Linked DNA regions of Oryzias latipes. The main gene of each other region encodes a partner of the protein of the gene in region 2 in a complex. Links are inferred from orthologs where the notes say so. Each region holds a gene or a part of one and is shown on either strand. Other genes may lie near its edges. The genes, in order: nsmce2 and smc5.

Evidence for each region.
Region 1: smc5 (region 2) and nsmce2 share a complex: the UniProt entries of both Homo sapiens proteins name them as parts of the SMC5-SMC6 complex. The link is inferred for Oryzias latipes from reciprocal best matches to the Homo sapiens genes SMC5 and NSMCE2.

Annotation. Positions count from the first base shown.
Region 1 is NC_019874.2:13,952,531-13,956,380, reverse strand, and holds the end of nsmce2 (E3 SUMO-protein ligase NSE2), read right to left. Parts: intron 3,435-3,850; coding exon 3,343-3,434; intron 3,240-3,342; coding exon 3,133-3,239; intron 2,979-3,132; coding exon 2,867-2,978; 3' UTR 668-2,866; downstream 1-667. UniProt on the Homo sapiens protein: E3 SUMO-protein ligase component of the SMC5-SMC6 complex, a complex involved in DNA double-strand break repair by homologous recombination. Is not be required for the stability of the complex.
Region 2 is NC_019865.2:11,190,781-11,194,602, forward strand, and holds part of smc5 (structural maintenance of chromosomes protein 5), read right to left. Parts: intron 196-3,822; coding exon 63-195; intron 1-62. UniProt on the Homo sapiens protein: Core component of the SMC5-SMC6 complex, a complex involved in repair of DNA double-strand breaks by homologous recombination.

The DNA.
Region 1 (3,850 bases), on a different chromosome or scaffold from region 2:
AGTCACTTTGCGCGCAGCTTCCTCTCAGTAGTTAATACATGAGCCCAGTCAGTGCGCCGTCAGCCGCTCCACTTCCTGTGTGGTTTGGTTTATCCTGCTGTGTGTTGTATGTATGAGACACCCTGTTTGTTGCAACGAAACTCGTTCAAGATCTGACTGCTGGGAGGTGTTGTGTCTCTTAAAGCAACAGCATGCCCTGTTCAGGCGTCACTGCCAACATTTATTCCCAATGCAAGAGGGAATGTCAGTGAACCAAAATTCCAGCTGTTCTGCTCAAAAATGAGAAAATAAAGTTTTATGTAGGTTTCACAATTTAACCCAATATTGAGTAAATTCAACATAATGATTAATGAATGCAACGCAATAATGTTGAGTAAATCCAAAATAAAGATTTATAAAATTAACGTAATAATGTTAAGTAAATTCAACATAATGATTAAGAAACTCAACGCAAGAATGTTGAGTGCATTATACTTAATAGCACAATGTAAACTTACTATAACTGTGTACTGTGGAATTTATTCAAGATAGTTTGTTAAATTTCAGTCATCCACTCTTTCTCAAATTTAAACAAAATAGTTTTGTAGGACCGGCTGACGAAACTTTTTTATTTTAATCTAATGTTTCATTTCTTTGAGCGCAGATTCACTCCTTTTTTTTTTTTTAAAGAGAATAAGTGAATTGTTTAGCAATTCCAAAAACCTCCAGCATCTTCAAAGATTTTAAAATCACTAAATGATTAGAGTTTTCCTGGATTAGTGGGAAATGGAAAACCTTACTGGAAATTTTCCTCACCAACATGTGGATGGATATGTGGCTGGTGGTGGTGATGTCATGGTGTGGGGGTTATTTTCTTGGCACACTTTGGACCCCTTACTACCACTTCACAGCCTACCTGAGAATTGTTACTGACCATGTCCATCCCTTTATGACCGCCATCTTCTGATGGCTACCTCCAGCAGGATAAACTTGAGTTCACTGGACTCAAACGGCCTCCACAGTCACAAGATCTCAACCCAACCCAATAGATCCCCTTTGGGATATGGAACGAGAGATTGACATCATGGATGTGCAGCCGACAAATCTGCAGCAACTGTGATGCTGTCGTCAGTTTGGACCTAACTCTCTGAGGGATGTTTCCAGGACCTTGTTGAATCTATGCCACCAAGGATTAAGGCAGTTCTGAAGGAAAAAGGGGGTCCGGCTTGGTACGAGGTGAACCTAATAGAGCAGCCGATGAGTTAGTATCCTACATCCCTCATTGTAAACAAAGACAGGGACCTCCTGATTGATCTGCTCTCAGCTCAAAGCAGCATCAGGTTGCCAAATACCATATTCATGTTTTGGAGAAACGTCTGATTTTTTCGACACAATGATTTTTAATAAATACTTCTCATATTAATGAATGCAAAACCACATTCCATATGGAGCACAAACCTGCTGAACAGTGTAGGGTTGGGATGCAAAACCAGCCTGCCTGCAGTCCAGATCTGACTATACATCAAAGTATGTCACACACTCTCATGCATACAAAAGTGGTGAAACGTATTTATTAAGTCACATTTCAAATAAATGTTGTAAGATACAACTTTTTACACATCTTCATAAAGTTTCCCATCATCTTTTTTAATTCTGTTTTTAAGATTTACCATAGCAGCCCTGCACGGCTTAAAAAATATACAGATTGAAAAGCTCATGCATCACTTGGAGTGTTTTCTGCTGCCAGACCTTAATAGTTTTGTTCACCTTAGAGAAGGTCATAAAGCCCAGAATATTATTTTCCTTGAACGATCTGCGTCAACACCCCAAAAAAAAACAAGTCGCTTTTTATGATTACTTCCAAACCTATGAGTTTGAAGCAAAAAACAAAAAAAAGTATAGATTAAACTTCAATTTTGACGTTCTTATCTGCTGCTCTCCGCTCATTTATCTAAAGCTCCGGCACAGCCGAGACACCGCTGCCAAGACATGATCGTTTGTTTGCTTCCAGGCAGCCAAAGGTAAAATCCTCCTTGGATGAGCCAGACATCCAGACTTACAGGCAGCTTTCACGCCTTAAAGCTTTAGAGGAGATAAGTGCTAATTTGAGGTCAAACGTGGGCAATCGCACTCAATAATTTGATTTCATTTTCAAACACATTAATGAACCAGCTGGAAAAAAAAGCCTCTCTTCCATGAGTGACTAAATCACAGGTGAGATTTTGCAGTTATTTAATTAACTGTGACGCATGTTGTGTGGCAAACACAATAAGATTTGCAGAATGGTAATTAAAATCGAGCAGAGGGGTAGTGGGTCGACAATAGCAGGAGAATTTGTTCCCTGTTAATTTCTTAATTTGTAAAAGGTTCTTGCTTTTTAAACGCCTGATGCAAGATTATTAAAAGATTAGCTTCAACACTGCCTTCGTTTGTGTTTTTCTGTGAAATAATGACCCTTCATAAGCAGCGTGAATAAGCAAAGCGAGGTTTAAACACATAAGAGCATTTCCACAGAGGTGAAAGAACAGACTGTTTGTCACCTTGGAAGTTTCAGGATAATCTTTACATCAAAAAAAATATTTTTCTGCAAAACTGGAGGATGGAACTCTCAATTGTTTCATTTTTTTTTTTACTGTATTTACTAATTACAGTATCTTCACCTGACACTAATTTAAAATAGTAGAAAAAGCCCCTAAACGGCTTTGTGGAAACGCTGCCCTCTTGTGGTGTAGCCACATTATTGCATCACCAAAATATCAAACATGATAAAAAAAAAAGACAAAAGGTTCCAAAAATTCAGATTTAATGAACAAATATTTGCACAAAAATAGAACATTTGCACCCCAAAAAATAAAACATGGACAGATAGGTTATCAGTAAAGCAGTGCTAATTTTTGCTGTTTTTCTTCTTTTGGTTCTGAATCCTTCTTCTCAGTATCTGATCAAGAATGAGGTCTGACTCTTTCACATCTGCGTTTTCACAGCCCACCACAGGACATCTAAATGAAATGGAACAAAGCACAAATATCAGTTTCTTCTTTGGAACACTTAAATCCCTCCAACACAAACTTTGTAATCGAGAACATCACCATATCCTCAAAATGGAACTAGATTTATAAAGTTTCATTAGCTCAAAAGACTAGGGTTTCGTACCGGCACTTCTTCTTCAAGTTGCGTCTTGTTTTGATCAGGTCCAAGATGGCAGATTCATCATAGTAGTGGTTGCACTTTTTATTTTTGACTGGTTTTAACATTTCCACCTTAAAAAAAAAAAAAAAAAAAAAAAAAAAGCTTAACGTTAAAAGTTAAACAGGTGTGTCAGAAAATAGGTGGTGGTGGGGGGGGGGGGGGTCAGCGATGTACCTGTGTGAGCGGGCAGGTGAAATTGACCTGGCTCTGTGTGACGGCGATGTCCTCATCAAACTCCTCCGTGTTCTCTGCTGATTTCTGATTGGCTAAGAACACAAGCATCTCATTTGTAAACCTTCATTTGTTGCACAAAACCCTTAAAAAGTCGGCAGGAAAATACGCAGGTAAATGCCAGAATGTAGCTAAAGAGCAACATATTTTGCTTTCCAAATAAATAAACCCTCCATCCACAAAATCTTACATTTAAAAGTGTGCAACAGAGACATTCAAGACATCCACCTACACATAAATCTTTTTTTTTTTTTTCATTTTATAGATCATTTTCACAACAAATTCGGCTTCATTGTGGCCTGTAAATGCTGCCGGCTGAAATTATCTTCAAGGATTATGCAAATGAATGCAAATTATTGCTATTTTTAAACATTTATTTCAATATGCAACCTTTATTGATGTCTTCAGAAAAATAGACACAAACATTAGCCGCGGTTACATGTACAAAATG
Region 2 (3,822 bases):
AAAAAGTCTTCATTTCAAGTTAAAATGATCCGTTTCCTGCTCCAAGGATGGCAGAAACTTACCGTTTTGATCATAGCTTTGGTTGTTTCGTTGCCCACTGGCACATCGTGCACCTTGTATTGGTGACACAGGTAACTCATCACGTCATCAGGGGCGTCAAACATCTCCCGAAGGTAAGAGAAAAAGCCGAAACGCCTGCAAATGTCAAATAATAACATCAATGTGTATTTACGAGTGAAATGAAGGTGCTGCAGTTTTTACAAACAAAAGAAAGGTCCTATGATACAGCTAGAGGCTGTTGTTGTCAAGTGAGGAAGTTACTATTGCTAACATGCCAACCTAAAGTTACATTTTAGGGCATTAGAATCTAAGACCATTTAGAAAATTGGTTTTTATCATGTTTTTAATTTTATATAAAACTGTTTAATCTCTGAAGAATACCTTGTATTCTAAATCTAAACTCAGCTTTGACTAAATAAGTATTTCAAGCTAATTTTTGGCCAGTTGATTTTTGTTCAACTAACTAAATTATCACACGGATCAATTTGTAAATTAAACACTAAGGTTTGTGTGATGTACTGAGCCTGTAAAAGATGAAGCAATTGAGCTCCAGCTGCAAATGTATGGTTTGACTGCTTTCTAAGATTTCGTGTGATCACCATGGAGGCACATACACTGATTCAAAAGACCCAAAATTGTGTTTTTAACATGTTCTTGTACGGCTGGATAGCTCCAATATTGCCAAAAGCGGCACAATCATGAAAATAGATCAACATTTCACAACAACTTTAAAATCTGCAAAAAGCTGTGGAGGATTAGAATTACCTAACTTCCACAATTACTTTCTTGCAAATAGATTACAATACATCTTAAAATGGTTAAAAATAATCCAGAAACCAACTCATGGTTAGACTTGGAACAGGCGTTATGTGGGAAGATCAACCTGTCAGATCTTCCATATATCAGCCAAATAGTTAAAAAACAGGATTGTTTATTTAGTATTAATATAAATGCCACTTTAACAGCCTGGTGGGAATTTCTCAAAATATCAAAATCATCAATTCAACCGTGCAAAATGACACCCATCTGGAACAACCCAGACATCCTCATAAACAAAAAAATTATCCATTTCCCAGCTTGGGAAGCAGGGGGCATAAAACAACTAGAGCATATAATTATTGATAGAAGATTCATAACTCCCCAGGAACTTCAAGACAAACATGGAATATATAACTTCTTGGAATATCAGCAACTTAAATCAATTATTACTAAAAAGTTTAAATACAGAGACAACGATTTAAAGCTACCAGATGTAGTTACCACTCTGATCAATTTCTCAATGAATAAAACTCTCTCCAAAATATACAAACTTTTATGTAATTTAGATAACAATATTTCACTTCCGACAACAAAATGGGATGCGGATTTGAGCATCAGCACAGATGAAAGCTTTTGGTCAGAACTTTGTCTAAACACCTTTAAAATGACAAAAAGTCCAAATCTGCAGCTAATCCATTTCAAAACTCTACACAGAATTTACTACACTGGACAGAGGATGTTCAAGATGGGTCTCAGCAACTCAGACATTTGTCAGCACTGTGAAAGTAATCTACCCGATAATTACATGCATGCACTGTGGTTCTGCACGCCTGTCCAGGCTCTCTGGCAGCAGGTATGTGCCGATTTATCAGTCTGGCTTAAGGTTTCAATCACAGCTTCACCGTCACTTTGTGTGCTTGGTGACATGAGTGCCATCGATGTTGAAGGAGGATTAGGCTCTATCATTTTCATAACTCTTTGCATTGCTAAAAAAACTATTTTAATAAATTGAAAAAGCAAGAAAAATATAAATATAAGTCAACACAGAAATCTGCTGCTTGATCATATCAGCTTGGAAAAAATGTCAGCCCAAAGTTCAAGTAACTTTGAAAGAATTCAGTCTCTCTGGTCTCCCATGGCTAACTCCATGACTTAGGGGGTGGGGGGGGCCTGGTCGTCGCTGCTCCTTGCCCTTCTGCCGTAGGCCGGGGTGGGGGTCGGGGCCTCCGGGGCCTGGCGGGGGGTGGTGGGGGCTCCGTTGGTCGGGGGGTCGGGTCCGGCGCCTGGGTGGGGCAGGCTGGGGCGCTGCGTGGTCCTCTGGGCTTGGGTGTGGGGGTGCGTGGTGGGGGGGTGGGGTGGTGGTCTGGCTTGGCTTGGGGGGTGGTCCGTTTGCCTGTGCTGGGGGGGGTTGGCGGGGGGCGCTGCTCGGGGGGGGGGCCCAGCGGCGCTGGATGGGCTTCCCATCTACACCTGGGGCTGGGATCGGCCCTTCCCTGGCTCTGGGGCGGGACGGGACAACCCTCTTGGGGCCCCCGGTCGCTCTGGGTGTCATCCGCTTCGGCTGCGGGGTCTGGGGGGGGGTGGGGTGGGGGGTCTTGTCGGCCCTGTCCTGTGGGGGGGCATTCTGGGGGAGGGATGGGGGCCACTATTGGTACGGGGCAGGGGGGGTTGACGGGTCGGGGTCTCCGCTGAGGCCATCGGCGGTTTCCCCGGCCGGTTGGCTGCCTCGGTCCCGTCGAGGCCTGACCAGAGCTCTTCTAGGGCCGGCGTTTGGGGGTGGGGGCCTGGGCTTGCTCCGGGGGGGGGCCAACGCTTTCTGGCTCCTCTCTCTCTGTGTGGGGGGGGTGGGGCCCCTGGGCTGGGTGGGCCTGGCCCCCTTGTTGGGGGCGGGGGGGGGGGGGGGGGGCGGGGGACAGCTGTTTGACCACCGGGGGACAGTCTATCAGCTGTCCCCAACTTGCCCCCTTCCTCATATAACCTCATAATAGGGTGAGGGGGTGGGGGGCTTAGCCTGCGATGAGCCTTGGGGGGGGTTTACTAGGCAGTGGCCCCCCTCCTATGGTTGCCGTATGGAGTGGGCCCCCCCTCTTTCGGTTTTATTTGCACCTTAAACATGTAGGGCCCTTGGTAGGGGGGGTGCTTGGACATCACTGCCAGCAAGCAGCAGATGTCCTCCTAGCACCCTACCCGCCAATTTTAACCGCACCTTAGACGTTTAGGGCCCCTTGGTGGGGAGGGTGAGGGGACGTCACTGTGAGTAATCAGGAGATGTGCCCTTAGTGCCCTACCCGCCAATTTTAACTGCACCCCCCTTAGTACATACACCCCTCCCCCCCTCAATATATACATCCCAACATAAACACACACACATGCACACACACACTCTCTCAAACACACATACACGCACACACATTTTGCAAGGAAGGTGGGACCTAGGACCATCTGTCCCCTGCCTCTTCCCTGGTGGGGGGTACGGGCCCCTTTGCAACGGCGGCCGTGTCCCCGGGGTGCCGGCTTCCTGGGCCCGGCGGTGCTCTCTCCGCACGGTGGGGGGGTTCACATTATATCTGAGCCGGGGGTGTTTGTGTCCCTGGGGGGTGGGTTCTGGTCCTTGCTCCTGAGTGCTGGGCCCTGCCAAATTTCCAACTGTGGCCGAGCCTGGTCGGGCCATATTTACAACACCCCTTGTGGGCCCTCTTTTTTCCCCGGGGTTCCCCCCTCCTGGGCGGGGGCGGCGGGCCCCTGCCTCGCTCCTCCCTGGACCAACCGTGGGCCGGGCGGATGGCTGCCTGGAGTGCGGAGCGGGTCTCCCTTGGGGGGGTCCTGGCTCGTACCTGGGGTTGGGGCGGGGAGATGCCCGGAACTCCTGGGTGGTGGTGGGGTGCTCGTCTGGGGCTGTGGGCGTCCTTCTCCGGTGGGGCCCTGCGTTGGGTTCTCCCGGCGCGGCGGGGGGGCTGCTCTCCTGGTTGGGCTGGGGCGGCGCTCTCTTTCCCTCCGTGCCTC